4 linked regions of the Rhinolophus ferrumequinum genome follow. The protein of the gene in region 2 interacts with the protein of the main gene of each other region in a pairwise test. Links are inferred from orthologs where the notes say so. Each region holds a gene or a part of one and is shown on either strand. Other genes may lie near its edges. The genes, in order: DHX15, ZGPAT, DVL2 and CDCA7L.

Evidence for each region.
Region 1: the proteins of ZGPAT (region 2) and DHX15 interact in binary tests that used the Homo sapiens proteins (3 or more experiments, as listed by UniProt). The two-hybrid records come from large-scale screens. The link is inferred for Rhinolophus ferrumequinum from reciprocal best matches to the Homo sapiens genes ZGPAT and DHX15.
Region 3: the proteins of ZGPAT (region 2) and DVL2 interact in a two-hybrid assay, tested with the Homo sapiens proteins (2 studies listed by BioGRID and IntAct). The two-hybrid records come from large-scale screens. The link is inferred for Rhinolophus ferrumequinum from reciprocal best matches to the Homo sapiens genes ZGPAT and DVL2.
Region 4: the proteins of ZGPAT (region 2) and CDCA7L interact in binary tests that used the Homo sapiens proteins (3 or more experiments, as listed by UniProt). The two-hybrid records come from large-scale screens. The link is inferred for Rhinolophus ferrumequinum from reciprocal best matches to the Homo sapiens genes ZGPAT and CDCA7L.

The regions. Positions count from the first base shown.
Region 1 is NC_046288.1:71,716,632-71,724,307, forward strand, and holds the start of DHX15 (ATP-dependent RNA helicase DHX15), read left to right. Parts: upstream 1-4,670; 5' UTR 4,671-4,842; coding exon 4,843-4,910; intron 4,911-7,676.
Region 2 is NC_046306.1:376,572-384,582, reverse strand, and holds the start of ZGPAT (zinc finger CCCH-type with G patch domain-containing protein), read left to right. Parts: upstream 1-5,010; 5' UTR 5,011-5,113; coding exon 5,114-5,140; exon of another isoform or gene 5,141-5,193; intron 5,194-5,225; exon of another isoform or gene 5,226-5,386; intron 5,387-5,599; coding exon 5,600-6,234; intron 6,235-8,011. Other genes in the region: ARFRP1 (ADP-ribosylation factor-related protein 1), read right to left, coding at 183-253, 459-540, 3,473-3,555, 3,728-3,815, 4,061-4,153. UniProt on the Homo sapiens protein: Transcription repressor that specifically binds the 5'-GGAG[GA]A[GA]A-3' consensus sequence. Represses transcription by recruiting the chromatin multiprotein complex NuRD to target promoters.
Region 3 is NC_046304.1:11,598,205-11,605,755, forward strand, and holds the start of DVL2 (segment polarity protein dishevelled homolog DVL-2), read left to right. Parts: upstream 1-4,541; 5' UTR 4,542-4,784; coding exon 4,785-4,978; intron 4,979-7,215; coding exon 7,216-7,285; intron 7,286-7,551. Other genes in the region: PHF23 (PHD finger protein 23), read left to right, coding at 1,508-1,539, 1,694-1,786, 2,348-3,185, 3,290-3,507.
Region 4 is NC_046303.1:18,260,513-18,267,340, forward strand, and holds the start of CDCA7L (cell division cycle-associated 7-like protein), read left to right. Parts: upstream 1-3,818; 5' UTR 3,819-3,940; coding exon 3,941-3,964; intron 3,965-4,013; exon of another isoform or gene 4,014-4,126; intron 4,127-6,828. UniProt on the Homo sapiens protein: Plays a role in transcriptional regulation as a repressor that inhibits monoamine oxidase A (MAOA) activity and gene expression by binding to the promoter.

The sequences.
Region 1 (7,676 bases), on a different chromosome or scaffold from region 2:
TTTTCTAAGGGCTCCAAGAAAAGCCATTAGTTTTCAGTTTGTCCAGCTTTTTCTTCTAAGAATGGAAGTGATAATTTCTAAACTTGACATGCTTGGAGGTATAAGCAGAAACTCCTCCCCAGGTTTTTTATTTAGTATCTTGGCTGGAGTGGAGAGGGGGACAGTTTCATAAGCTTCTACTTGGCATTTCCTACTATGATAGTTCTTACCTCTTGCAGGCCAAGAATTCAACATGAGGGTTGTGCCAACTACTAAGAGTGTCTATTCTAAGTGTACATTTATAGATTGGGGACATGACAAGTGGGTGGGTTTGAGAACCCAGGGAAACTACTATGAGCTGGACCTGAACCAGATCTTCGTTAGACACTCCCATTGGCCCCCACTCTAACAGGGAGCCCATAACGACACTTTGAGTCTATCAGTATCAATGTCAGTTCAGATTCCGTATCCAATTGTCCTTGAAATGTTTGAATATTCTCTTTCCCCCAGTGTATGGTTACCTAAAAGAATGGCTATAGATCACTTGGAGAAAGGACTTGGAGAATTATTACTGTGCACACAGTGATGTTACGTGTTGTAGTCCTTGCTCCTAGGGACATGGCAGTTACCTTAATCAATGTACTCCAGGTCCCAAAACTGGTCGTAGAACCAAAACTAAAATTAAGTCACTTATGTTGGGGACAAAATGCAGTTGGCTAATGTGGGTTCATTAAAGAAAAACAAAACTTAACCTTACCTAAGTTGCAGGAATTTACAGTTCTTTTCAGAAATAAGCAGAGGACTTCAGCCAATTTCCACTGTCAAGTCTGTTCATGCATCTTTGGACTTTCATGTTCCTCTGACTCAGCTAACCTGATCCAAATAAGGCAGGAGACCACTGGGTAACCAATCAACTAAAAAACCAAATAACTTCTGCATTTGCCGCCATAAAAACCTTTTACTAGTCTGTGAGCAACTCAGAACTCATTGCTCCAGTAGCCTTGGGTTTCCCAGCTTATAGGTCAAAACCCTTGCAATGAACTCATCTTTCTGCTTTGTTGTACTCAGTGTGCAGAGTTTGGTTTTTGACATGGCGCAAGTCTAGAAACTGGGCAAGTTTTCACTGGGGCAACTGCCCTCAATCTTTTGATCATCCATTCTTGATTTATTTTGGTTGTTCAGATTGAGGACATCCTTTGATGATTGCCCATCTATTTTGCTCTAGATACCTTGTCCTATTTACCATCTCTACTACCTTGTAGCATCCACCTGGCTTCTGATGTTGAAATGCCACCGTGTTACTTCTGTTACAGGCCCCTTTCATCTTTACTACTCTCAGGGAGCTCAGGTCTGAAATGGCATCTTCTACCTTCATCTCTGAACTATAGAGAGAACCACCACTGAATTTCTGAATGATGTTGATGCCTCCCTCACCAGAAAATTCTTTATGGATTCAGTAAGTGGTATGTCTTCTGAACTTTCCTGTGGAATATATTCCTCTGCTGGGTTTTCCACCTTTGTGTAAGTATTTTCACTCTAACACATTCACTTCTTTCAGCTATTTAACCCCCTTTTACACTGTGATGCACAGCAGTTCTGGCACTTCTGCCTTTCTTGGTGACTGTGGCATTGCTTTTTCCACGCTTCTAGATGACATCCTAAGTGTGTTTACACCATTGCCTGGAGTTCTTGTGTATGTTAAATCCTGTATCCTGGAAAAGTACTTCCAGATTGATAAAATTTCCCTTATTTAACTTTATGTTCCACCTCCCTCCTCCCTTCTTTATCCAGAACCTTCAGAATTCCATCCCATGCATACTTTCTTGGCTCCTGCTGGTACCTGATGGTTAGATCCTACAGCTTCTTTGGAGTCATTTTCCAATACTATCAGCCCTAGGATGTCCCTGGAATATTCTATGTTGTGACTTAACCCTAATTTTTGCCTACTGGTCAGCAGGGTAAGTAGGGGTATATCTTGAGGGAGGTGCATATTATGTCTCAGAGAGTAGGCTTCTGATCATCTCACAAGGAAGGAGAATTAGCTTTTAATAGGGAAGAGCAGGGCATTTTGACAAGCTCACCAGGTTGAAGGGAATTTAGGAATTCAAGATTTTTCAGGTCTATCAACCTAAATATCCCACTCCCAGGTGTCAGAGGTGCACCCTTTCTCAATGAGGGCCCTAACCTTGACGTATCATGCCTGTCTAAGTGGAGAATTTAATCTTCATTGTAAGTTTCCACTTGGCCTTATGAAACTGTTATATTTAAGTCCTGGGATTGGTCATCATTTTTCTTTGTCTTTCCACTGCAGGAGATGAGAATCTGTTTATTTGCTCCCAGAAGGTCTTCTAGCTTTCCCACTTAATTTTGAATTGCAGATTAATTACTCTCAGCCTTTCATTATCTCTCTCCAAAGTATCAAGTCCACTTAGCAACAGTCAATCAAATTCCGATGTTCTTATAGTTATTATTTCCTCCATACTTTGAAAACAGTGCATGGTCTTTCCCAGTACACCACGGGGGGTGAAATTTTAACAATTGCCCTGCAATTGGCAACTATGTGGTAACTATGTTCTACATAGTGGTAACTATGTTCTACCTGCCATCACTAAGTCATTGCCGGCCACCAATGGGTGGCCAGGTCCAAAATCCAATCATAGACTCTGCTTTCTTGGGCCATTCCTAGCACCAAATCTTTTTGGTTGGGTTCCATGAAAAGTAGACTTCGAAGCAAGGACTAGTGCACAGGAAGTTTATTAAGGAGTATTTAGGATCAACACCAGTGAAAGGAAAAAGATGAAAGTAGGCTTAGGGGAAAAAACTGGGCTCTGAGGCTGTACGGGGGCTGGTAGATGGCTCTTCTTTATTCCAGGGACCATTTGCTCTGAAAATCTAGAATGGATCATTTAGACCCAGAACTTTGCCCTTCCTCAGAGAGAGTGAACATCCTGGCAGATTCTGGCCCGTTGTTCCCCTTACAGATTCCAGAAGGGTCTCTATCCTTTGGTAAATATGGCCACTTCAGTTACAACACAATTGGTTAGGTTACAGTTTTCTAGGGATATACGCTAAGCCCAAGGAGAAAGTCTCTTCATCTTGACTTCGGTTCCTCCTTTACCAAGTCTCCTTGCACATTTATGAGAGGCTGATGCCTCTAAGGGTAGAGCACTTCTTCAGGTGGAATTCTAACCTTTTCCCTCATTTTTTTCTCCAAAATTTTGGAGTACTTTATAGTTGCCCTCAAACTGGGAACCTAGATATCTGGGACTGGAGTAGTGAAGAGTGAAATCTGGATTTTAATTCTGACTTTGACACCAATTGCCTGTGTGAACGTGGGCATGACCTAGGGGCTCATTTGTAATATGAGCTAAGAAGGGAAAATCAGCTGGAAACTCTTTTCCAGGTTTACAATTCAGTGATTATGCAACATGACCCCTGACAAGTCAATATACTGCTACCGTGTTTCCCTTAAAATAAGACCGGGTCTTATATTAATTTTTGCTCCAAAAGACGCATTAGGGCTTATGTTCAGGGGATGTCATCCTGAAAAATCATGCTAGGGCTTATTTTCCGGTTAGGTCTTTTTTTCGGGGAAACACGGTAACATACATTTAGGGTAAAAGTTGTACAGAAAATTTTATAAATGAAGATATTCGCCTTTCTTTGTACTGATTTTGTAATGTGGATTAGGTACAAAAATAAAAACCCTCTTTATCAGTTGCAGTATTAAGGTTGTATTTAACCTTAGCGGTTGCAGTTCTGAGGATTTGATAAGAACCTGGTTATGGTCTTCCAGGGCATCCAAACATCCATTTCATGAACTACATAGATCACCCAGCTTCGGTTGGTCCACAGATCTTTCTTTTATGTATTTCTTCTGGGAATGAATGCAACTGAGTAAGCAGATAGTCTGGGGGAGAGATCCATTAAAGTGCTAAGAGTCATCTTACCTTAACGATTGTCTATGACTTTAGGGACAGCACTAATGGCTGTGTGACTTCTTAACTTCCCTCTGCCTTAGGGTCCACATCTATAAAATGACACCTACCTTGCCAGGGTGACTGTAAGAATAAGGGTAGAGGTAGGGTTACCACAAGTTCATAACAGGCACACAGGAAAACAAAAAGCTAATTATGTCCTTACTGTCAGCAATTTTCTCTATTCCACATTAAAAAAAAAACATCAATAGGTTGAGAACATACAGTCCATACTAGGTTAAAAAAAAAGAGAGAGAGAAAAGGGCAAAATGGATTATGGCAAGTTTTGACATTTTTCTCACTTCAGTTTCTTCACTGACACTGAGTGGTTAGTGGCTTCAAGTTCTAGAACTGGAGTTACAAAATAGTTACCATAGGTTCCAATCCTGGCTCTGCCCGGTATCAGCCATATGATCTGGGTTTCTCAAACTCCCTGGGTCTCAGACTCCCCTAATGCCAGGGCAATACAAATGGACAGGATTTCCTACCTAGAACTGATCTTTCACCTCTCTCAATTTCTTCACATCAGACAGGGGCGTGAAGGCTACGCGGGGACAGCCGACTTAGCAGCCGCTCGAACGGCCTAAAGCTGGTACCAGGAAGAGAGCGGAGGCCGGCGGGAAGGAAATTGGGCGGATCTGGAGTTCCCGCCTCCGATGCGTGCGCGCTCACCACGCACGCACAGCACGCTGCGGGAGCGCGCACGCCGGCCCAGCCCTCGTCGCCGCCGCCATTTTAGCTCCTGGTTCCGGCCGCGCCGTGTAGGCTGTGGTGCGGGAGGGGTGGGGGTCCTCCAGAGTTAAGTAGCTGTTGTCGACTGCGCTGATTAGGCCGCCAGTTTTTCTTTTTTTCTTCCTTCATAACCGCCCGCTCGAAGAGTCCGAAGATGTCCAAGCGGCACCGGTTGGATCTGGGGGAGGATTACTCCGGCAAGAAGCGTGCGGGGACCGATGGGTAAGCCAGGCCCGGGGCGCGAGGCAGAGGCTCGGGCTTTGTTGGGGTCCCGGCGGGAAGCGGACCAAGGCCGGCCTGGCCAAGCGGGGCCTGGAGCCCGGCCTTTTGTTTCTCTTTAGGCTGGGTTCATTGGCGGGTTGAGCGAGCGGCGCCACTCCCGGGGTTCGGCTGGGCAAGGGCGCGGGGAGAGGTGTTGCGCGGCCGCCGCCGGGCCCAGTCGGAAGGGTGGAGAGGCCTGTCGTGGCCACGAGGGCGCCTCCCCGGACCCTGCCAAACGAGTCACTTGGAGGGGAGCGGGCGGGAGGAAACCGCGGACCTCGTGGCCTGGGTTCCCGGGTAAGGCCTGGAACCGGGGGAGGGGATGGGGGAGGGCGCGGCGGGAGTATTCGCTTCCAAGGGCACCAGGTACTTACCAGGCTGAGGGGCCGCGGAGAGGGCCTTGGGGGCGGGTGGGTGCCCACCTAGGGGAAAGGAGGAGGGCGGAAAGTGAGAGAAACGCGTGGATTCTTCTTTTTGACTGGGATGGGGGTAGCGGGAGTTGAATGAAGCGTGCAGACGAGGAGTTGCCGGGGGAAGGGAGAATAGAAGGCCTGCCGGGAGAAAGGAAAACGTGGAATATACCTGATGGGCAGGAAGGCTGGTCGTATGGAGCCACTGAGTTTATACTTTCGCGGGAGAGCGCGTGCCTCGGTCCATTCAAAGACTTCAAAGTAGATACTAGGCAAACTTCCGCTCTCTGCTTATGCTCCCGCCATCTCCTTTATTTCCTGCTTTGGCTAAAACTGGGTATTGGGCATTCCTGGGATAGGAATTAAAAGGCATTATTTCTTTTCCAATAAATTCTTGATTTCTGTCCTCCCGCCTTCCTGCATAACTAGTTTTTGCAACAAGAAGACCCTTTTCAAAAAAAAATTTTTAGCATTGATGGCAAAATATCGCACGTGGGGAGGTTGAGAGTTGAAATGGAGTGGTGGTGTCTCAGATTCCTTTCCCTTAACGTTCATTAAAGATACAGATGAATAGACTTCAGCAATTGCATCAAAATCATTTCTTGTCCAGTGTGTTTTCATTCCTGAAGTACAGTGTTTTACTCGGATAATTCAGGTATTTTTACCGTTTTATTGTGTGCACGTGTTCAGAATCACGGTGCCAAATCATCTTTATAACTTTTGTGAATTTTTTTTTCACCCAAAGTGCATTTGCATTGGTTTCCAGGTATCTGTCTAGTGAGTGTATAAACCAGGATAGGGTGTACTTTTTGATCCCTTCCCATATAGTGAATATGGAAAGCAGAAATAGGTAATGTTTTAATCTTGTAAAATTTTTAGTTTACAATGTTAGACTTTAGTTTTCTCTCTTTTTAGGTTGTCTCCTCTTCCCTCCCTCCCCACACCCTCAGCAAAACTTTAGCACATTTAGAACTCCTTGCCTCAGACTGTTTAGAGTTGCAAGTGACTTTAAAAGAGAGTATAATCAGCTCCACTGAAGGGATGAGAAAGGAAGACCCAGAGTTGTTAAGGTGGCTTGTGCAACCTTAACCCAGTTCACAGCTGGATTTAGAACCTTGATCTTTTCATTTGCACTCTTAGCTTCTTGCTTTTTCTATTACACTACAGACTATGACTGTATTTAAGAGTCATGACAACCTAATTTAATGACATTTATGGGTCACTAAAGTAGGGGACTCTTGGTTCCTGTGAAGCAAAGATAAATTGCTTGTCATCTGGGTAAAATGCAAGACGTCATCTGACTTCTCTCATAAGAGTTCAGATTGAAACAAAGTACACTAGGAGGGAATGAATTCATTTATTCATATTTGTGGGTGTGCAACATTTAAATACTTTTCTTGGGATTAGTGGTCCCATGGGTTCCCTTTCTCTTGCAAAACTGATACCCTTAGTAAAAAATGTGGACTTTCTATGTCTGACATCTACCTGTAATAAAGCCCAAGTTCTGAGATAATTCTGGGGGGACATTTATATACTCATTTCTGTGTCATCTGAATGTCATTTCTCAGAACTAATTTTCTTTAACTGAGCTTACAACGTTTTAGTGCTTGGGTTCCCCCTGCTCCCCCCCATATTTTATAACTTGAAAGTCTCTTTTCACAGACATGCTGTTTTGCAGTTTTTTTAAGCCTTGACAGTTAGCAAGTGGCTTTATTTGAGAGGGTAGGCTTGTCTTGTGAACTTCATTGCCAAACATGGCTGTACCATTTCCCCAATACTGAGAACGGAAAATAATTTAGTGGGAGATTTCACTCAGTTTCAAGTTCCCACACTATGTATAGTTTTATTTACTCCTGGTATATTTTAGTTTTGGGGTCAGGTGGAGAAGTTGAAGGTTTCTGTTGCAAACTGATGGTATTCCTTTTCCATCATCCCACAAAAATTTCTATATTAAATTATGCAGAAGACAACTACTTATTGAAGTGTGGAAAAAACTTTTTGAAAATAGAACATTTTTCACTTTGGTCTTAGTTTCTGATTAATTCCTGATAAGTACTTTTCCTGTTAATTGTGGAAATGTAAAACAAATACACTGATACAATAACATGTAAAATATAGTGGTACCTCCGTTTTCAAACGTAATCCGTTCCGGACGACCGAGTTCTGAAATGCTCAAAAACCTAGGTACCACTGTATGTAACTATGTTCCCGAAACTATTTAGGTGCTTTATATGTATAAGCACATTTTCACTACAATTCCTGTGATATAGGTGAGGTTAAGTAACTTGCCCTGGGGAACACAAGAATGTCCATATAC
Region 2 (8,011 bases):
CACTCTAGGCTCTGCCACACGCAGCTGAGGGTAACGGGGAAGGACAGGGTGCTGCACCCCAGTGGAGGGCAGGGGAGGCCTCAGGAGAGCTGTGTACCCCCACTCATGTGGCTTGGGGTATCTGAGGGGGGTGGCCCGCCCCTGCAACGGGCCCCCAGACCCCGGGCAATGGGCAGGCTCACCTCAACGTCCTGCTTGTTGGCCAGCACCAGGATGGGGACGCCGTCCAGAGCCTCACTTGCGACCATCTTCTCTGGTATGGGGGAGAGGCGGCAGTGAGCACCCTTCGTCCACCCGACTGCCCAGCCCAGCCCAGCCCATCGCAACCCAGGGGCCCACATTCCTGCACTGGGAGGGGAGTGGACACTATCCCTTGTGGCCAGGGCCCTCCTGACCTAGTATGGGCCCGACTCCAGCACATGGCCTGAGCACCCCCCAGCCCACCGGGCTGTGCTCACCGAAAGCTTGCTTGGATTCCGACAGTCTCTCCTCGTCCGTGGAGTCGATGACATAGATGACACCATGGCACTCCGCATAGTACTGGGGAGGGGCAAGAAGGGGGCTGCACCCTGGGCATTCAGCCACCCTTCTGGAGGGCTTTCTGGGGGTGGAGAGCTAGGGCGGAATGGAGCTGCGCCCCCAGGCCTGTCAGGGCTTGCTGGCCATGGATGGGCAGCCACCTCCCCTGCCCACTTCCTGGGCACTGCACCCAACCTACTTCAGCATTTGCTCCTGCAAACCTACCACAGACCGCCAGCCTGACGGTGGCTCAAGGGGAAAGGTGAGGCTTGGGGACTGCAGAGCCCAGACCAAGCCGGTCCCCATGCAGACCGGGAAATGGGGACTGTATGCCAGTGGAGCCTCATGCCACTGCGGACAACAGGCCCCACAAAGGCCACCGAGGGGCTTAGGCCAGTGCCACATTCCCAGCAGCTGTCCCGACAAGGACCGAGGCAGATCACCGGGCTCAGAGATCTGTGGTCTTACTTGGGGCCAGAAGCGGCATCACAGGAGCCCCCACAGGCTGTTCCTGCAGGAGCCTGAGGTCTGCAGGAAGGGCCGGAGGCACCGCAGGGGCCCTCGAGGGGCAGCCATGCAGCTGGTGAGCCCACTGTCTGCCCCACCAGAGCACTGCCAACGTCCGCACTCACGTGGGGCAGACAGCAGAATCTCTGCCGCTTTGCCCTGGCTCTCCTGCCCGTCACAGCCAGAGGTCCTGCTAGCTGGGCAGGGTGAGCCAGTGGTCACCAAGCTGGAGGACGCTCTGGCACATTCTTGGGTGTGACCCCACCAGTCTAAGGCAAGCCGCTATGTCTGCACTTGCTACGGAGAAGGCGGCCCTGGGTTTCGCAGGCCACAAGTCCCGGACACAGGGACTTCTGTGGAGGGCTGCAGCTCCTCTATGGGGACTCCAGGCAGCAGGCTGGCCATCTGGCTACACCCGACAACTGCTAGGCCCTGCAATGTAGGAGGTCTGTGCAGAAAGGGCCAGTGTGGGGTCTGCAGCCTGGTGGAAATCACCACAGCCCCTCAGGTGGCAGACTTCACTCCCCGTGTGACTGGGCCCTGGTAACGGCCTGTCACAGGCGCAGCACATCTGGGCTGAGCACGTGCTGGACGGGGGACAAAGCAGGCTACCCTGTCCCCATGATACCATTCATGCCCCAGACCCCAATGGCTGCATCAGCCATGGCCACATGGGGAATCCTACAAAACCAGTGGGAAGAGGGAAGAGCCTAAGCTTGGCTTCTGGGTGGGCACATTCTGGATGTCTCTTGGGTGTGACCTGAAGGGACAGGGTCCGAAGTCCTTGTGTGGCAGACTGCCAGGTGGTCACCCTCGTGGGAAGACATGGCCCGAGTCTGAGAATTGGGGAGGGACCAGGAGCCCCACTTCTCATCTGTCCTGGTGACACACAAGGGACTCTGCCACCATCCCCACAGCTCTGGGCTGTGGTCATCACCGGGGCACAGCAGGAGACCCGCCGAGTTATAACTGTGCCTGCCTCCTGGGTATGTTGGCAGAGACCCCACCCTGGTGGAGAGAACTGACCTCATCGGTAGCAGGGCTGGGGAGCCCCTCAGGAAGCCAGGGGTCCACCAGACAAGGAAGGCTCAGGCCACCGCACAGTGGTTGTTAAAGGGGAACCACAGTCGCCTCTTTCCTCCCCCTCTTCCAGTTTCCCCTCAGGAGGCTCTGGGTCATGGAGGAGCCATTCCCCATAGCAGAGGCACGAATGCCAGTGGTACATGGTGGGCTGTGGCCCACACAGGAACCGGTCATCCACTGGACCTTGCTGCCCGGTGGTGGGCACTGTGCCAAGTGGACAGCCCCTTGTTGGCTCCTGTAGGACCCACAAAGAGCCACGTTACCAGGTCAAAGCTGCCCAGGGCTGCCCACCATGGTGACCCGCCAGGTGATATGGAGTCCTGGCCAGCTCGGCCCGACGGGGAGAAATTCTCTTCCAGGGGTCCCCATTGGGCCAGCCACCTGAGCTGACCTCTCCCCCTGCCCACTCCCTTCCAGAAGCTGACACGCACCCTGCACCTCTCCCTCCATCTCAGCGTCAGCTCGAGACCCTGCCCTGTGACAGAATATCAGGCTGTGTCTCACTCCCCACGTGGGTCTGGGGATCAGATAAGAAGACCCTGGCTTGGTGTGGTGTCAGAACAACTGAAATGGCCAAACCCTGTGGCCACAGGACAGAAGCTGCCCTTGTGGCTGGAAGTCAGAGCAGGAGGGGACGCTTTGGAGGGGGACCAGGGAGGGTGACTGGGTACCTGCTGCTGGGATCAGTCTAGAATTCAGGACCTTGACACTTAGTTCTAAGTACATGGGCAGTAAGTGTTGGGGAGGGCACGTCTGTGCCCCCAGCGCTGGGCTGCACCAAAGCCACCAGGCCAGTCCCTGGGGAAGAGCCCCTAAGGGCAGGAGCTGGGTCTGTCCTGCTCACTGCTGGACCCCAGTCCCTGGCACAGGCTGAGCTGGGGACCGACTCCTGCTTTAGTGTGGGGAGAATCTCAGAAATGGCCAAACTCTTATGTCGGAGGAGAAGGCAGCTGCTGTGGGCCTCTGAGGACATCGTCCCCTGAGGTGGAAGGGGACACCATGGAGGACCAGTCCCAGGCCAGAGCGGAGAGGAGACAGTGGGGAGCCTCAGGCCTGGTAGTGAAGCTGGCACCAGGCCGTGCCTTCCCCATGTCTGTTCTCGGCCCTCTTCTGTCTCGTCCTGTGTTCATTAGCAACAAAATCTCTAAGCCCAAAGGAACTGAGTGTGTCGTTACTCTCAGGGGAGTGACTCGGGAAGCAGGACAGGATTGAGGGGGAAGCCTCAGGGAAACAAGGGGTGATGGAAGCTGCTGACCAGAAGGGAAGGTGGTCTGAGGACTTGTCAGAAAAGGCAGAAAGAGACCACAGGTGCCGTTTGGAGAGACATGGCCCGAGGGCAGGTGCTATGTGGCATGTGTCTCACCTTGTCCCACAGAGACTGCAGCTCTTCCTGCCCTCCTAAGTCCCAGAACATGAGGCGAGCCTTCCCCACGTCGACAGTGCCAACTGGGGAGAGAGGAACAGGGGTGAGGCTGTGGCCCAGCTCTCCTGGGTGCTTCTTGACCGCGGGCCAGCGGGAGCACAGGCTGCACCCAGGGCTGGGGTCGCCTGCAGGCCTGTGGGTGTCAGTGTCCTCGGGGGCCTGCCCCCAAACCACAGCCCTCAGGGGCCTTCTTACTGTTGAGCCCCACGGTGGTGGTGATTTTGGAGAGACTCATGCCCCGGTAGTCCTTGTTAAACCGGGTTTTTGACTGCTCCAAGAAGGTCTGAGGAGAGAGCGAGACAGGCACCAGGTAAGGCCTGGTGTGGCTTTACAAGTCGGCTTCCCAAATGCCCCTTCCGGGGCCTACGTCTTTAAAACAGAACAGAACGTTTTGCTTTTAAAGCACTTGGTGGAGACGGTCCCATGGCCCACGGGTTTGGATTCTGTCCGGGCAATGAACAGGCAGCGAAAGGTATAAAACCAAAGGACCAAAGCCCCCGGGGCGGGGTCGCAGGAGCAAGCGCCTACCGTCTTCCCAGCATTGTCCAGACCCAGGATCAGGACGCAGTACTCATCCTTCTGGAACACGTACTTGTACAGCCCGGACAGCAGCGTGTACATCCTGCCCTGGGCGCCGAGAGGTCAGTCGGGAAGCCATCTCCCCGCACCTCCCTCCCGCCGGCTTCGCACCGCGGTCAAGGGCACGCCCCGCCCCTCCACTCCGGCCCGGGTAAGCCCCGCCCACTCCGCCCCGCGCACTCGCGCCCATGACTCCTCCCACGCCGGCCACCGGCGGTCCCGACCCACTCCCTGGTCTCCTCACGCCCCCTCCCGGCCCCCCGAGGCATTCTGCGTCCCGAGTGCCGATCAGGCCTCGGCTGTCTCCGGCTTCAGGACCACAGCCAGGGACCCCCAGGCCGCCCCTCCAGGCTGCACGCCCGCTCGGCCCGCCCCCCGGACGCAACCAGGGACACGCTGGCTCCCGCCCGGCCTGGGCCACCGAGTCTTCTCCCACGGCGGTCACGCCCCTCGGAGGCGGCGCGCCGCCCGGCACACAGCCGGCGCCCGGTAAACACGCAGCAGGGCCCTCTGCCGGCGTTAACGGGGACGCTCCGCTTTTTGCAGGCGGGTGTGCGTGTGGTGGCCGGTCGCTGCGGCCCCGGAGCAGCCCGGCAGGCGGCTGGTGGCGTGGACAGACGGCGGCGAGGCCTCGGAGCCCGACACCCCGCCCTGACACCGGGTTTCGGGGCTCGCAACCCGGCCGCCGTTAGCTGCTCCACACCGGCCGCCCCGCCCTCGGGCCCAGGGCCCGGGGCCCGGCTCCGCCCGCCCGGGAGTCGACGACCCTGCCCCGGCCTACCTGTGCTCGCCGGGGCCGCGCAGCTACCGCGCGCCTGACCCCGCTGACCCCGCGCGGCGCCCGATGGGATCCGGCCGGCCGCCAGGAGAGGGGCGGAGCCGTCCCGGCGGCCCCCGCGGCAGGCACTTCCGGCGGCGGCGCTCGGAAGGAAGTGCTCGGGGGCTGCGACGGCGGAAGCCCGGGGCTGGGCCGCTCTAGCCGAGGAGGCCGGCGCGCACTCTATGGCGCGGCCGGACTGCGCGGAAGAGGTGCCCGGCCTGGGAAGAGGGGCGCGGTCTGGGCGACCGGGCCCGGGCCCGAGGTGACAGGGCCAGCGGAAGCCGGCGGCCCGGGAGGCTGGGGCGGGGAGGCGGCGTCCTGAGAGGATCCCGGGGTTGGGGGCGCGCGAGGAGACCCCCAAGCGCGGGGCCGAGACGCGGAGAATCCGATGAAACCTAACGCAACAGCGCAAGGCGGCCGGAAAGGGAGCTGAGGCCGTGGGGCCGGCGGCCAAGGTCCGGTTCTGAGTTTTCCACTCGGAGCTGATAACTTCTTCCAGCTTGTGTTCTCGCCCCAAAACGGGACAGAGAAGCGCACGCGGTTCCGCAGGCGGTCGTGAGGTCCCCTGAGTGCAGCTGTCGGCGCAGGGCTCCCTGGCACCCTCAGCGGTGGCCTGGGAAGGAGGGCGGCCAGTCCCGGGGCTCAGCGGGTTTCTCTCCTCCCTGCAGCTCTGCTGTCGCACCGCCCCTCCGAGGACCCAGGGAAGTCAGCCCTTTCCCGACAGGATGGACGAGGAGAGCCTGCAGACCGCCCTCCAGACCTACGACACGCAGCTGCAGCAGGTGGAGCTGGCCCTGGGCACCGGCCTGGATCCCTCCGCGCTGGCGGACCTGCGCCAGCTGCAAGGCGACCTGAAGGAACTGATCGAGCTCACGGAGGCCAGCCTGGTGTCCGTCAGGAAGAGCAAGCTGCTGGCCTCACTGGATGGAGAGCACCCAGCCCAGGACGGCGCAGAGTACCTGGCTTTCCAGAAGGCCATTACGGAGGTGCCAGTAGCCCCCAGGGCAGAAGTGGACACTGTTCCTGAAACAGAGGCGGGGCCAGAACCCAGCAAGCCTGGGCAGGAGGAGGAGGAAGGGGAGGAGGAGGAGGACGAGGAAGAGCTGAGTGGCAGGAAAGTGAATGCCCCCTACTACAGCCCGTGGGGCACCCTGGAGTATCACAATGCCATGATTGTGGGCACAGAAGAGGCCAGCGATGGCTCCGCGGGCGTCCGCGTCCTCTACCTGTACCCCACCCACAAGGCCCTGAAGACCTGCCCGTTCTACCTGGAGGGGAAGTGCCGCTTCAAGGAGCACTGCAGGTAAAGCCCTTCGCTCCTGGGGCCCCTGTGGCGACATGGGGCTCGCGGTAGGACCAGGGTCGTGGCTGGCCCTCTGTGCTCCTCTGGCCAGCACAGTGCTGACAGGGACAGAGCTCAGGCCCGTGGGTCCTTACAGCAGTGTCCTCCTGGACGCGTTTGCTTGGGTTTGTGAAACGGACTGTGGAACGCACTAGTATGTGCGCGGAACTCAGAACAGTTTCTGAATGTAGTAAGGACACAGACTGTTAGTTTTTATCTTGTTATAAAATAAAACCGGGTACAGGAAGTAAACGTATAGTATGGGGAATTGTTGTAACACCCTCGTAATCACCACTCAGATCAAAACGACAAGTTTGCCGAGCGCCCTTGGAGTCCCTCCTTACATCACAACCTAACACAGCCTCCTTCCTCCTCCAGAAATGACCCTGTCCTGCCCTTTAGGATGGTCACCTCCTGGAGTCTTTGTGGCTTATCACTGCGGTGTGGACACGCTGGTTCGTGCCTGCTGTGTCTGAATGTGGCTGCACACACCCTGTCCCTGCCTTTCCTGGCCTCACAGTTGCACCGTTGATGGACCTTTGGGCCATCAGTGAACAACCCAGTGCAGTGGAGCAGGCTCTTGTGTACCCCCAGGCTGGCGGCTGGGCCCAGGGTCTCGATCACACTCACGGCAAGCCTGGAGGTGCTGCTCGTTCACCAGGAGGCACCTGATGACCACTTGGCCACTTTGCCTTTTGTCGTCTTGGCAGCCACTGATGCTCCATGCCGCATCCATTGACTCCGGGGGGATTGTAAAATAGAGACCTTTTCATCCTGTGAGTTCGTTTTTGTTCATTAGCTGGAATGTTATAAAGAGATGCTTCCCCTCGCCTACGATTTGTCTACCCAGTGATACAATTCATGCAGAAAAGGCAGGGTTTTTCTGTTTCACTTACTTAGTTTCCAACATAATGAAGTGGTTCTCTTTCATCCTGAGAAGATGATGAGTTAGCTTTCTAAAAATATTTAATATCCATATGGACCCATGGATTTGAGTATATTTGATAAATTTCAATCCATTGTGATTCTGATCCTTACCGAGGCTCAAATTTTCCCACCCTTGGCAAGTGGGAACCTCTTCGGGTGGGTTCCTTCATCCTCTTCGTCTCACTGAGACCCCTGGTCAGTGAAGAGTCACTAACTTCTCTTTTGCTGCTTTCCAGATTTTCTCTTTGTCTTTGGGTTCCAACACTTTGATCATAATGTGTTTTAGTGTGGATCTTCTTGAGTTTATACTACTTGGATGCATGTCTTTCATCAAATTTGGGACCTTTTCAGCCATTATTCTTTAATTCTGCAAACATTTTTCTGCGCCTTTCTCTCCTCCTTTTGGCATTCCATTATTTGTGTTTTGGTATACTGTATTTTTTGCCTTTTAGCATGTTTTGTAGTTTTTTTCTTGATAGCCAGACATGATGTACTGGCTAGAAGGAACCACTGTAAACAGGCCTGCAGTGATGTGGTGAGTCCTGAGGGGAAGCGTCCTGTGGGCCAGTGCTTACAGGGCGGACTCCTCCTAGGAAAAGCGCTCCATCCCTCAGTGCTGAGTGTCACTACGGTCACCTTCGAAGTCCTCCCCTTGGGAAGCTGTGCACCAACACCAGCGCCTAGTCCACCCTTCAAAGCAATTCTGGAACTCTCTTTCTGGAATGGCCATCAGAGCTGTCGTCATATTACCCTTGATGTCCTGAATGTCATCCAAATGTCTTCCTTTCCATATTTCCTTTCGCTTTGGGTA
Region 3 (7,551 bases), on a different chromosome or scaffold from region 2:
CACGGAACGCTGAGCCGGCGGGGGGCGGGTGAGGAATCAATTGGCAAACTTGGAGGTCGAGCCCCGGAGGGAGCGCGGGGAGGGGGTCGGGGGCCTGCCCCTGGTGGTGGGAGAACGACGAGTTGTGAGACCTTGGAGAAAGAGGAGTGGGAGACTAGGCTGAGGGTAGCTGGAGATTAGACGCTGTGTGTGGGGGGGTGGGAGCTAGAAACCGGGAGCTTGGGGGTTAGGGGCCGAAAGGGCCTCCGGCAGGTTGGGGCCCTGAAGCTAGAAGGCTGGGAGGATCTGGGGGCCGGAGAGTTGTTGAGGAGGGAGGAGGTAGAAGAGGACTGAGTGAGGAGCCCGGTAGTTCGCCGAGGTGGGGGAGTTTGTGGCGGTGGTGCCGGAGCTCCCGGTAGTTGCCGCCGGAGATAGCCTGGTGAATGTTGGAGGGGTGGGCAGATAGTTGTGGGAGAAGAGGGTGTCTGGGTATTGTCTGCGGTAGAGGAACCTGTACCGGGGGGTAGTTGTGGGGAGAGAGCCTGGAAGCGAGGAGAGCTGGGTAGTTGTAGGGGCGGTGGGGCGGGGTGGGGGTTAAGACCGGCGAGTTGCGGGGTGGGGGGGAGTTGATCGGCGAGGTTTAGAGCTTGGGAGTTGCGGAGCGGCGGTAGCAGCGGGGGTTGCCGTGGAGGAGTAGAGTAGCTGGTGGGGGGGGCTAGAGTTTAGGGGTCTATAGCCTAAGTGACTTAATGGTGAGTACGGGGGCCGTGGGGGGGGTCGGCGTCCGGAGAGAGCTCCGAAGAGGGCCTGGGGGCCCGGCCGGGAGCCCTAGAAGCTCGAGACGGGGAGGGGCCAAAGCCCCGGATGGGGGCGGAGGGACGGCGAAATTGTGGGGAGCGCGGTATGGGGGGGGCAGGTGGGGCCGCGTCCGGGTGAGAGCTCTCGGGTATGTCCCGGACGCGAACTGGCGTTGGATGTGTGATTCTGTGTGTGTTTAGGGTGGGGGTGAGGGGCGCGCCGGGCCTCGTGCTCGAGTAGAAGGGGCTGGAGGGCGGGGAGCGGTTCAGCGTGGTCATCCTGGACCCTGGGGGCCGGCGGGCGGCGTGTGCAGTCTCGGAGGGCCCGGGGCAGTAGAGCGCGGCCCGGCAGAAACTCGGGGCCCTGGGCGCATGTGAAGGACAGGGTCAGGCGGCAGCCCGGGCTCGGCCCCGGGAGCGGTATGGCGGGGTGGGGCGCTAAGAGATCGGAGTAGACGAGTCTAGAGAAACCGTGAGGGGGGGCGGGGCGCCAGGCCTCCGGTGGGGGGAAGGGGAGCGCTATAGCGAGGCCTGAGAGCGCGCCGCGCCCAGGCTCCGCCCCTCACGGGGCGGGAGGGGGAGCAGGGGCGGTTCCAGCACAGCTGGGGGCCTGCTGGCCCGGCTGAGGGACTTGGGAGAGCAGGGGATTTGCTTGGCATCTCCAAGGTTTAGAGGTGGGATTTTATACAGACTCTTCTAGTGCCTTGACTCAGCTTTTATTGCTTTCACAGATCCACCTCCGACCCTTAAACCAGAGACTCAGGTGAAGTTTCCCTTTACCTTGCAGCCTAGTATTACCGACCGTCCCCTTCCTCTCTCCCTCTCCCTCCTACCTTTTCCAGATTCCTCACTCCTGGGACTACCCTTTGGGAATGCCCCTCTTAAACTCCATGTGATACATATTTTCTTCCTTTCAGCCACCAGAGAAACGTCGAAGAACAATTGAAGATTTCAACAAATTCTGTAGTTTTGTCTTGGCCTATGCTGGTTACATCCCTCCTAGCAAAGAGGTAGGGACAGGAGGTCAACTGACTTGAGGGTGGTGGCCTAGGACTAGAGAGGGACTGTTGAGCAAATGGGACTGTATTTATAGGAGAAGGCTACCAGAAATTATATATGTAAGACTAGAGCAGTTAGAAACCCTGGTAGGAAAACTAGTATCTGGGGTGAAGGTGGACTTAATAGCGATAGATGGATTGAGTAGCAGTGAACAGTCTTGGGGTGGTGTTAATGGAAGATGCTTTTGGGTAAATTTTAGGAAGCTGAAAATGGTGACAAATGAGGCTACACAGAAAGGAAACTAAAGAAATACGTCTCTTGTTGGGGGATACAGCATTACAAAGGCAGTGGGAATTGGAGAGATGGATAGAATTTAAGGGCAGAAGTAGCATGGAGGTGCTCAAGAGGTGATAAGAATTGGGGTGGGGATAAATTGTCTGAGTACAGTGAGAATTGGTGATTTTGGCAGGATATTTGGGAGTAGATTGGTCCCTGGTTTTCAAGCTGGGTTTATAGAGGAACTGAGATGACACTGGGCCCCCTGCTGACCATGGTCTTGTCCGCCTTTTAAGGAAAGTGACTGGCCAGCCTCCGGCTCCAGCTCTCCATTGCGAGGTGAGAGTGCGGCAGACAGTGATGGCTGGGACTCTGCCCCCTCAGATCTCCGAACCATCCAGACCTTTGTTAAGAAAGCAAAGTCATCCAAGAGACGGGCGGCTCAAGCAGGTCCCACTCAGCCAGGACCTCCAAGGTCCACTTTCTCTCGTCTGCAGGCCCCTGACAGTGCTACACTGCTTGAGAAGATGAAGCTCAAGGACTCTCTATTTGATCTAGATGGGCCCAAAATGGCATCTCCACTGTCCCCCACATCCCTGACACATGCGTCCCGGCCCCCTGCTGCTCTCACCCCAGTGCCCCTTTCCCAGGGGGATCTCTCCCAGCCTCCTCGAAAGAAGGACCGAAAGAACCGAAAGTTGGGGCCCGGAGGGGGGGCTGGCTTTGGGGTGCTTCGGAGGCCTCGGCCAGCCCCTGGGGATGGGGAAAAGAGGTCTCGAATCAAGAAGAGCAAGAAGCGGAAGTTGAAAAAAGCAGAGCGGGGGGATCGACTCCCACCTCCTGGGCCTCCCCGGGCACCCCCCAGTGATACAGACTCTGAAGAGGAGGAGGAGGAGGAAGAAGAGGAAGAGGAGGAAGAGATTGCAGCAATGGTAGGGGGTGAAGCCCCAGCCCCTGTGCTCCCAACACCCCCTGAGGCTCCTAGGCCCCCTGCCACAGTGCACCCTGAAGGAGCCCCTCCCACTGACAGTGAAAGCAAGGAGGTGGGCAGCACTGAAACAAGCCAAGATGGAGATGCCAGCTCCAGTGAAGGTGAGATGCGGGTCATGGATGAAGACATCATGGTAGAATCAGGTGAGAAGTTTGGGGCTGAATAGGGGCAGCTGGGATGATGGGTATGGAGCTGTTGTGGATGCAAGAGCTCAGGCAGAACACCAAACAAACCTTCTTTTCCCCAGGTGATGACTCATGGGACCTGATCACATGTTACTGTCGAAAGCCCTTTGCAGGGCGGCCCATGATTGAGTGCAGCCTGTGTGGAACATGGATCCACCTTTCCTGTGCTAAGATTAAGAAGACCAATGTCCCTGACTTCTTTTACTGCCAGAAGTGCAAGGAACTGCGGCCAGAGGCCCGGCGATTAGGGGGTCCGCCTCCCAAATCTGGAGAGCCCTGACATTTCTAGGCTGGAACTTCCAAATGACAACATGACTTGGGAACTGAGCCTCAGGGTCCTCAGCCTATCCCCTGAAGCTTGGATATTGTCCCACTTCAAGGCAGGAGTTCCCAAGGGAGACTGGCTTGGACATGAGTTCCTTCCCTATCCTTTCCCACCTTGTGGACTTTATAACTCGGACGGACCCATTACATGTAGGGGTGGGAGGCTGCCTTGGTCCCTAGACACTTAATCTCTGTCCCTTGGACCTGCCACCCCTCACTTTCTGGGCCAGGATGGGAACTGGGATGGAATGGGACAGTTGTCTATAAAACTCTAGTGTAAATATAGCACTCCCCTCCCTCATCTTGTCTCACTCCCCATTCTACACAGGTTGTATTTTTAATTTTGGAATTCCGCTTTTGGGCATGGCAACTCAGAGGTGGAGTACCAACCAGAGTCTGGCCGAGGGAGGGAGGAAGACAAAGGTTCTTTCACTTCTTTTGTTTTTAATAATACTGGCCAGCTGTTTGTACAGGTAGCCTGCGTGTTGTAAATAAAGCAGAGTGGGCTCTTTTGTGTTTATAGCCCTCACTGACTGTCCTGCTTGGGAGGGAGACTTCAGAGAAGCTGGCAGGAGAGGGCTGGAGGAGGGCCTGAAACCCATCTTGAAAGTCCGAGCTGAAGGAGGACAGGGCTCTCTACCTCTCCCATCGACCCTATGGCTTCGGTTGGCTTTGCCGCGTCTTTGGAAGCTCACAACCCCACCTTGACTCTCCACACACGCTTCAGTGGATGAGGGTTGCTTGGAGTTCCCCACTTGAGTGGTCTTAAGCGGGGTGGGAGTCGGTTGCCTGCCCGGTGAGGGCAGAGGCCAGTTGAGCCAGGGTATTCGGAGGACGCAGGTGGGGACACATTTGGGGGCGGGGCCATTGAGGGTTAGGAAACCGTTGCCCAAAGCAGCGATCACGTGGCGGGGGCTCTGGGAGGGGCCGGTTCTGTCACGTGATCAGAAGGTCACGTGGCGGCTACGAGGATGGGGTGGGACGGCTTGGGTCACGTGGCATGGAGGTGGGCGGGGCACTGAAAGGTGTTCACGGCGGCGGCCGAGTACGCGGCTTTGGGTCGCGCCCCGCGGCCCGCCACCCTGCTGACCCCCCGCCTTTCTCCTAAATCTCTCTCGCACTGGGGCGGTCCCGTCCGCGCTCGCTCGTCGGTTTGCGGGTGTGCGCAGGCGCGGCGGGGGAGATTAGCTCTGTTGGGTGGGCGGCGGAGCCCGAGAGCGCGCGGGCGAGACCATGGCGGGCAGCGGCGCGGGGGGCGGTAGTGTCGGGGAGACGAAGGTGATTTACCACCTGGATGAAGAAGAGACTCCCTACCTGGTGAAGATCCCCGTCCCCGCCGAGCGCATCACCCTCGGCGATTTTAAAAGCGTACTGCAGCGGCCCGCGGGTGCTAAATACTTTTTCAAGTCTATGGATCAGGATTTCGGGTGAGCGCGAGGCCTAGACTGGGGCTGATGGGGTCTGTGCTGGAGTTGATTGGGCAATATTGAAGGGCACAGGCCTAGTCTGGTCCATACTGGGATTTTTTGGGCTATAGTGGATCAGATTGTACTAGGCTGGGGTAGATTGGATATCCCAGGACGGACAAGGTTATTATGCTTGCACAGATTGAGGCTCACGGAGCTGTAGGACAGACTGGGCTATACTAAACCAGAGTAGAGAAGATTAGGCTATACTGTAATAGAGTGGGGCGCACTGGTTTATTTTGGGATATTTTAGACTGCAGAGGTAGATTAATCTATTGTCTGATAGTTGAGTACATTCTGAGCAGTCCTGTAATACACAGGGATATTGTGGGATACTGTGGAATCTTAGATTGAGCTATATTAGTCAACTTGGGACGTTCTGGCCTATACTAGGGCAGCCAGGATTGTTTTGGGACATTCTAGTCTGTATTAACGCAGAGAGTGCTGTATTGGGATGTTCTAGAGTAGATTAGGCTATCCTGGAGAAACTTGGGCCATTCTGGTCTCTATTGGGTTTTATTGGTTGAACTTAGTTTGTACTAGGGCCTAATTTTTGTTGGGACACTCAGGAGAGGATAGACAGAGCTGTTGGGGTCTATGCTAGTACAGACAGCCGTTTGGGGATAGTCTAGTTTATATTAGTGCAGATAGCTAGCTCCATGTGGTGACATTCTAGGCTGTGCTAGAATAGATTGGGTTATCCTGGTATAATTTGGGACATTCTGGGCTAAACTGGGACTTTAAATGATGCACAGTAAGCCCTTTTGTTTTATAGCCTCTGGGACTGAACTGTCTGGGTTCTCAACCTCAGCTCTTGAAGGCAGGCTGAATTAGGCTGGGGTAGCCTGGGTTCTAGGAGAGCTGAATAGACTGGGCTTTGTCTAGAAAGATTGTTTATCTTGGGAAAGTGGTACTGGTTTGGGAGTTACCTTGGATTTAAATCAAGGTTCTTCTATTTGTTAGCAGTGTAATTGGGCAATTCTTAAAACTTCTGTGCTTTGATCTCATCTGTGAAACAGAGATAATCAGAGTAAAATGCTTAGTACAGGTGCATGGCACACAGTTAAGTCTTGGTTAGTGGTAATTGTCAGTACTGAGTCTGACTAGTCCATAAACTAGGTTATAGTAATACAGAATGGAGTAACTTGGCAGGCTGGGCTATGCTGAGACTGGATTATGTTGTGAAGAATACAACATATGCTGAGACAGATTGGTAGTGACTGGGCTGTGTTGTCACAACTGAAAGCAAATGGGATTAAGTTAGCATATATCCAGGCTTCTAGAACCATATCAGGCTAAATAAAGGGTTAATTAGACAGGATGGCCTAATTTGAGGGTGAGGATGTGTATATGTGAGAGCTTCTGTCCAGGGCAGAGAGCCTTGTAGTTCATATGTATGTTCCTTTAGTCAACTAGTGTTCAATAGTATTTACCAAGCATCGGGTACTTTGCTGTGTGGCCAAGACATGGTATTGAATAGAATAGGCATTAATGATTTCATGTGGTGGTAGAGAAGAAGAGGCAAGTCCAGTCCATCACAAGGAACCCATGGGACAGGTGGCCCCAGGGCTAGGCTTTGGGGTTTGTCAGGAAGACCAGATTGCATGGTGCAGAGTTTTGTGCCAGGTGAGGCATGGGAATGGAAAGCTGGTCCTCACCTCCCCTTGGGAGCTCTCAGCCTAGTGAGAAAGTACCATTCTTTGGTCTAATGGGTATTTTTAAGCAAAAACAGCACACTTAGCTCTCTGGAAGCGAGTTAGAGAAAACTAAGAAAAGCATAAGAGTAGAGACTTAGATGAGAACCAAAGACTTGTTTGGGTAAGGTGTGTGAGGAACAGGGTTGAAGTTTGGGGGAGGCTGCCAGCAAGGCTCCTCACATTTGACAGATATTTTGGGCACCTGGGGTAACCTTAGGAGATGGACTTTGAAGTTGGACTGAGAGGTTTGAATCACACTTGAGATCTTTGGAGCAGCATTGAGCCACTGAGGATGAGCTGGGGAGAGAAGGAGAAATAAGGAAAGGGAATTGAGTTTGGAGATGTCTTAGGTATAAGAGCAAAGTGTTTTAGTATGAGAAGAGGACTTGGACAGGGTAGGAGAACATAAGCATCCTTGAGCTGGATAAAGATTGGGAGAAACTTTGGGGATGCAAGTGGGGGGAGCTAGTCCAGTCTCACTTTCATCCTGTCTCTCGACAGGGTGGTGAAGGAAGAAATTTCAGATGACAATGCTCGCCTTCCCTGCTTCAATGGAAGGGTGGTCTCCTGGGTAAGGGGCCCTGGCTCTGAGGGCCCAGTCCCTCCTGCATCACTAAGCTCCTCCAAGCTTCTGTCTGGCCTTGTAGCCCAACTGTTGTTGTTTAGTTGTTGGAGGCCCTGGCTCTTTGCTTCCCTACCTATTTGGAGAGAGCCAGCTGGAGCCCCTTAGCCTTCTTTCTCCTCCTGGAGCCTCTAATGCTTGCTACTGCTTTTCTGTGCTTTTCTCCAGGCTCTCTCAGACCCTGTCTCCTTTTCTAGTCCTTTCCGTCACTCCGA
Region 4 (6,828 bases), on a different chromosome or scaffold from region 2:
GCATTTGTCTGTCAAACTAAAGAAATGTCTTAGGACTTTCTGTCATTTAAGAAGTAATATCAGTTATTTTTTATGGATATATTGTGAATTCTATGTTGATATTCTACAGATTACTTTAAAAAATGCTACCTACATAATTCATTATGAAAAAATTTTGTTCTTTAAAAACTATGTACTACAGTACTGTTTTTGGTGTCACTGATTAGAAATGGATCATTACAATTTCCTTTTATGAGATATAAGTTCTTAGAAAGGTGAGTTATTAAATAATCTGTTCTCATTTTCATCCATTTATTACTAGTGCCTAGTTATAATCATCTTTTATGTTCATTTATATACATTATCAATTATTAATTATTAATAATTATTAATAGTAAATTATTAATATACCTACATATTGCAAAAACCTATGAGATATGGATGGCATTAATCACATTTGGGGTTTACATAGCATCTCTAAGAAATCCGAAATACTTTGGAAATATTGTTTCATTTATTCTCACAGCACTCTTTTTGAGGAGCAGGTGGGTGACTGTCACCGTTGAAGGATTCAATGTGAGAAGGCACGCAACGGTGAACTCAGCACCGGGCTCACTGACATCACTATTGCTACTGACGTTTTGGTAGAGCCATGGGCATTGCGGTTTCATTATGATGTGTACGTTTCTGTACCCAGTATATGAAGGCATTGATTATTGCTTGTTCAGGTTCTTTTCTCCGCAGCCTTTCAAGTGCTTTTCATCAGAAGGTACTTACATTGTGAGGCTGTGACAGCATTATGTTGGCATGCCTCGTCAGGAAGATGGAATACCAGCTTGTGATGAAAGAAAACTTTCCAAAAAGGCACCCAGTCGTTGAGGTGACAGTGTCGCTACAAGGGACTCAATTCTAGATCTTTTAATCCACAACAATGTGGAAAGGTTATCTCTAAGTGTCTCAAATTTAGGGATCTTTCCCCCTTCTAGGCTAGGTCTTATCTAATCAGAATGAGATAGAAGTTTCAAAATACCAGTCGATCAAGAACAACCAGGGATGTTATCTTGTTTAAGTGTCACTTTGTTTATTCAGGAGCGCATAGAATGCAAAGCAGTGTGCAGATATTACTGTTACATGTGGATTCTTTGCTGGGTTACCCAGAACACCAAACTGGTGCAATTCACTGTTATAAAGCGTAGACTAAGGGGTTTGCCCACAGCTGAGCTCTGTGGCGAGTGCAGAATAGGGGAGAGATATCTGAACTCCTCTTACAAATCAAAAACTGTGGGCCAGGCCTGACATCCCAAGTACAACTATTTCATGGCATCTAAAGCATCTCAAGTGATGGCATCTAATTACAAATTTCTTACCTTGTTGAAGGCACTAGGGACCAAGTTTTTATTCTCTCATAGAAACATTTAAAAAGGCAAGCAAGCATAGATTTCTAGACAGAGACTTCTTAAAGAAATTTTGCAAACATTACGTCTCCTTTTTCTCTGTTGCGATTATGTACACTCTTGCTTGTGGGAAGGGGCAGTCACTCGTGCAGTGCCATTCTGAAATCCAATGCTCACATGCTATTAATCCCATCAGTAACCATGGGAAGGAAGTATTAGCACAGGATATTAAAATTCCCTGGTTCTTTATGATTTCCCTAAACAGAAGGGAACCACAAACTGACAACAAAATACCACTACAGAATCAATTACTAAATACCATTCAAGTGCATGGGCTTTGCCAGACAAAGGAAGACAATTTCCAGGTTGCCATCTGAAGACTTAGGACTGGTTACAGCATATTTCTAAAGCAGGAAGGCTCAGCAGCTTACAGGTTTCCACGTAAGAACTAGGTTCCTTTAAGGGCTTTGCAAAATCTGACGTACTTCAAATTTATAGTCCCTTTTCCAAAAGGGATTTGATGCAACCTACAATGAAAGGAAATAAATGAAAATAAGATCACTAGTTCATGGGGAAGCAATCATACCAAAAAAAGAGAAAGTTCTGATTGAATAAATTTTACTCCGAGTTTCCTGGCAGCCAAAGGGAAAAAGTAAAGAATAATGGAGAGAATGTTGAATCTGAGGCATAAGAATGGTTTCCAGTTTGGCAGCCTGCGGCTGTCATTTAATAGCAGGGTGGCAGGGATCTTTTTCTTTATGTATTTTCTTCAATTATGTTTCCTCATTTAAGAAATGGGCAGGGTGGCTGGTTAGCTCAGTTGGTTAGAGCATGGTGCTAGGTAGCATCAAGGTTACCGGGTTCAATCCCCACATGGGCCACTGTGAGCTGCGCCATCCCTAAAAAAAAAAAAGGGGGTAATAGGAATCTGGAAGAACATTGGGAGAATTCAAGGAAAAACTGTATGTGAAGGAAAACTCTAAAGCATAGTAAAAACGAAAGTGGCTATAATCAACAGCTTACATTATAAAAAGAAAACAAAACATTTGCTTAAATCAAACACTGTATATGCGGGTCAGGAACACAGAGGACACATAACACATTTGCAGAACCAATGAAAGAAGGAAGGACAGTTCCCAGATGTTATCTCTTCAAGCTTGAGTTAATGTTTGGCCAACTTCATCCACTCCTTCAGCAAAGTCAGCTCCCAAGCAGCCAAGAAAGGCTGCAGAAGGGCTCAAGCATAGTGTTCCTATATGAACTCATGACCACAGGGCTAAATAGGCTTTCAATAACTGCCCAGCAAACCTGCTACGATGTCAAGACACCTTCATCTACCACCCTCCACAATGCCTACTTCAAGCCTTCCGATTTCCACCCGCGTCCACCCGCGTAATTCTTCACTCTTCATACCTGAACTCTAGGAGGTCTTCCCTGACCTGTGCCAAATTAAATCCCCCGTTTTACATCACCATAGTACCACTTACCTTTTCCGGCAGGGCATCTATCATAGCTCCAAATTTACATTTATTTGCATCATTATTATTGAACTTACCACCATTATTCATTATTTGAATTCATTTGAATTCATTATTTGAATTCATCATTTGAATTCATTGTTAATTAATTATTAAATTATTACATGTGTTTGCATAATTATTACATTTATATCATCGCGTAGGTGGCTAGCTCCCAGACTGTAAGTTCCAACACAGCAGGGACCTGTTTTTTGTTTAACCATGTGTTCCCAGGTGTAACAGTGCCTAACACATAGTAGGTGCTCAGCCAGTATTTGTTAAAATTAATCAGCATTCCTGACCTCAAGAACTCCCCGTCTAGCGGCGTTGGAGGCCTCCGTGTACAATGTATAGCAGAGCAAAGGTCGTCTAAAGTTGCAGGGGGTTTTGCAACTTCCCACCTTGGGCCTTGGTAAAGAAACTTGGGTTGGGTTGCCTGTTTTGCAAAGTGAACTCGGTAGCGAAAACTTTGGGGAGGCGGCACAACCTCGCCCCGTACCACAAAACAAGGGGAGCTCTGAAGCAGCCCTAAAATGCTTTCCTACTTCGGAAACACTGATTGCAGCACAGGCTCGCGCTACAGGGAATAACCTGGAATAAACCCTGCAAACATCCCGCGCGCGTAGCGGGGCGTGCCAGCTGGAGGCTGCGCCGGGACTGCCCCCTCTCCTTTCTCCCGCGCGAAACCAAGCCGGACGGCTCCACTCCCTCCCTCCGCTGCAGGGGGGAGCCCGGCACCCCCACACTGGCAGCCGTCTCGGGCTGCGCCCATCTGCAGACCCCTCTTGCGCCGCCTGCAAAACGAAGTTCCCTGGTCATGAAGTTTGGGTCTGTGATCCGAGCCTCGCGGCCTAGCGGAGCGGCACCAAGTGGGCGGCGCCGCGCGCTCCCCCTGTCCCGGGCGCCGAGTGCGCCCCTCCCCCGGCCCTCCGGAGCTCCCGGCGCAGCGCGCGGGCTGCGCGGCCGCGGGCGTTCTCCGTGCGCCGGCCCCGTGGCAAGCCAGGCTTCCGTGGCCGCGTGCTAGGAGGAGGCTGGATTCCCGGTGGAAGAATGGAGTTGGCGACTCGCTCGCAGGTGAGGGTCCGGCCGCTCGTCGCAGCCCCCACGCCCCTGCGGCCTGCCTCCCTTTGCTATCGGCCTTCCTCCCCGCCTTGGGCTGGAAACGTGGCCCTTGGCCGCCGCGTTGTGGATCGGACGCACCCAGTCCCGCGAACCCTGGAGCCGCGCGCCCTGCAGGTGTGCGCAGTGGGTCACTGTTTTGCCAGCTGGACTGGAGAGTCTGAGCGACTCCGCACTGGCCTCCGTTCCGGGTGGGTGCCCAGGGGTCGCAGGCCGGGTCGCTGCCGCCCCGAGCCCCAGGAATTAACGCATTTCGAGGGAAGTGCAGGCGGGGAGGCAGCCGGGGCGCAGCGCTTGCATTTGTTGCGCTCTTGGAACCGGGCAGGGGGTGGGGAATGTTTTCCGGTGCGCGCCCCCCATTTTCTCCGGGAATTGGCACAAGTTTAAGAAAAGTGTAATTTTTCTTAACAAAAAAAAAAAAACACACAGAATTGCGAGTCCGACCAGTTCAATTTGGAAAATGGAGTTTAAAAGGAATTGCTCTTGTATTTGTTCTAGAACTTTTGTAAATGTTTTCCAAGAAATTTGTAACCACTTGGGGCGGAGTGGGGGTGGGGATAGCAACGTCATTAGGCCAAATTAAAAAAACAAAAAGCCCTAAGATCCCAAACCGTATACACAGCACGACCGCAATTAACGCATTAAGATCTTAACTAGGTTTTAAAAATCGCATTAACAAACACTTGAGCATAAGTTACCCAGATGTTTCAGTGGATGCTGGGAATGTGAACGTGGCTTCAGTTTTCTTTTTTACTTTGTAAAAGCTTTTCTCTACTTCTAGTAATGAATATACATATTATTTCCATATTATTATTATTAAATAAACGTTTCAAAGGAACTAAAAACTTGCCAAAAGGGAAGGAAGCAGCTTGTGGGAGCCCGAGAGATGGAGGGTTGGGGTTTTCTTCCTTTTCTGAACGCCTCTGACTCACTTGCTTCCCACTTTTCCTTCGACTGGTGTTTACCTCTTTTCTCCCCCTGGGTGCTGAGCCTTGGTATTGGGAGACGAGAAGCGGCCGGCGCAAAGCTGCCCGGGTGGCCAGTGGTGCCTGAGCCCAGGCGGCTGTCACCCGCATGGGTCCAGCGGCAGATTAAAGGTAGAGTCGGTAATGGTCGCTTTGGCCATTTAGTGATTTCTGAAAGGCTTCCTGAAAGTGGACATTTGGGAGAAGTCTTATGTGGGTGTTTATAAGAAAGAGTATCATTTTTAAATTTCTCCAGTGAGGGGAGGTATTATAAAAGCAAAGAAAACAAACACTCAGGATTAAGAAGGACTGAGACAGGGTTATTTATTTTTTTCCTGCCACTGGCCTTTACCATATAATTAGTATCCTATGCTTCTGGGAAGTTCAGGTCTCTCTAAGACTTAAACCTTTCAGGAAGGAGCTTTGAGCCCCTTGTGAATTTCATCAGCAAATGTATCTTAAAAATGTATTGCTTCTGAAACCTGTTGTTCTGCTGGACCTGCACTTGCACCGCTTCTATACATCGTTCATGCTTAGAAAGTTCAAAATGTCCCAGAATGTGTAGTTGAACATTTTCCTGTCAAGTAATGAAGCTAAATTTCGGTAGCTCTAAAATGTTAAACTATTTACCAATGTGGGGGTAACCCACAAATTATATTCAACCCATTATGCACCAATTAGGGCAAATTACTATATGTAAGATGATCAGGTGTTTTTTTTTCTTTCCTAAAGATCTTCTAATTGGCAGCGCAAATTAAGATATGTGATGATTTTTTCCAGGGGAAATGTTCATAATTTAAATGTGAGCTGATTATAGTCTCTTTAAATTAGTGGAGAGTGGTTCTGTGGGGTGGGCAGGTGACTGCAGACAAGACAAGAGCACTTAATGAGCATTTCAGACACAGCAAGATCTTAAATTCGTGTGGTTCTACCCTGTGGCCCAGCCTAATGAATAAAGCATTAGTGCACACTGAATAAGGCTCAGCGCAGTGTGCAGTGGGTTTTAATCTCACACATTCAGTAAATACAATTTCCATTCCTTGCAAAGTGCAGAGCTGGAAGGGGTTCCAGCAAAGCAGCTTAGGCCTGATGTTATGAGTTATGACGTTAGGAGGGAAATAGGCAGGGAGGAGACCAGGAGACATTCATCTGAACCCTCCACACCTTTCTAGCCTGTTTTTTGAAACTTCACCAGTGTGTTGGATTTGATGTCTTTTGACATTGATCTGCCTTGGGCTGTAGTCCTTGGGCGACCACTGTGTCTTCGTGCTTTCGTGCTGAATGACAGGAAAAATACCCAGTAAAGGCAAGGACCTGGTCCCTTCCTGAGATTTCTCAGCAGTGCAGCTCGTAAGAGCTGGGGGATGAGACTGCCTCCGCTTCCTCGCAGAGAAACGGGGAGATCCTGAATGTTGGTGCTGTCCTTTAACTCCCTTCTGACTCTAGGATGCAGGTTGGCCCCTCAGAGAAGGAAATGACGCTGAATGCTCATGAATAAGCATGCGACATGCTGTTGAAAGGGTAAAGGGGAATGTTTTGGGGATTGACCTCACAGCTGCAGAGTGTGTACCCATCTGATCCTGGGCTTACAATGTGTGCCCAGAGCCCGAAAGCTGGTCACGGAGGGGGGTCATTTGTGACTCTTGGAAGGACAGCACAGTGATTTGCCACTTTACAAGCCCTGTATTTAAAAGGCCAGTTGGCCATTGTTTGGATGTACTACAGTCTCATCCGTTGGAGAGCTGAATATTTAGTGGTCATGAGAAACCTCAGAAATCACAGCAATTCTGACCTGGTCAGATACACAGGACAGAAAACTGAGGTAATTACATGACTTAAAACAATTTATGAATG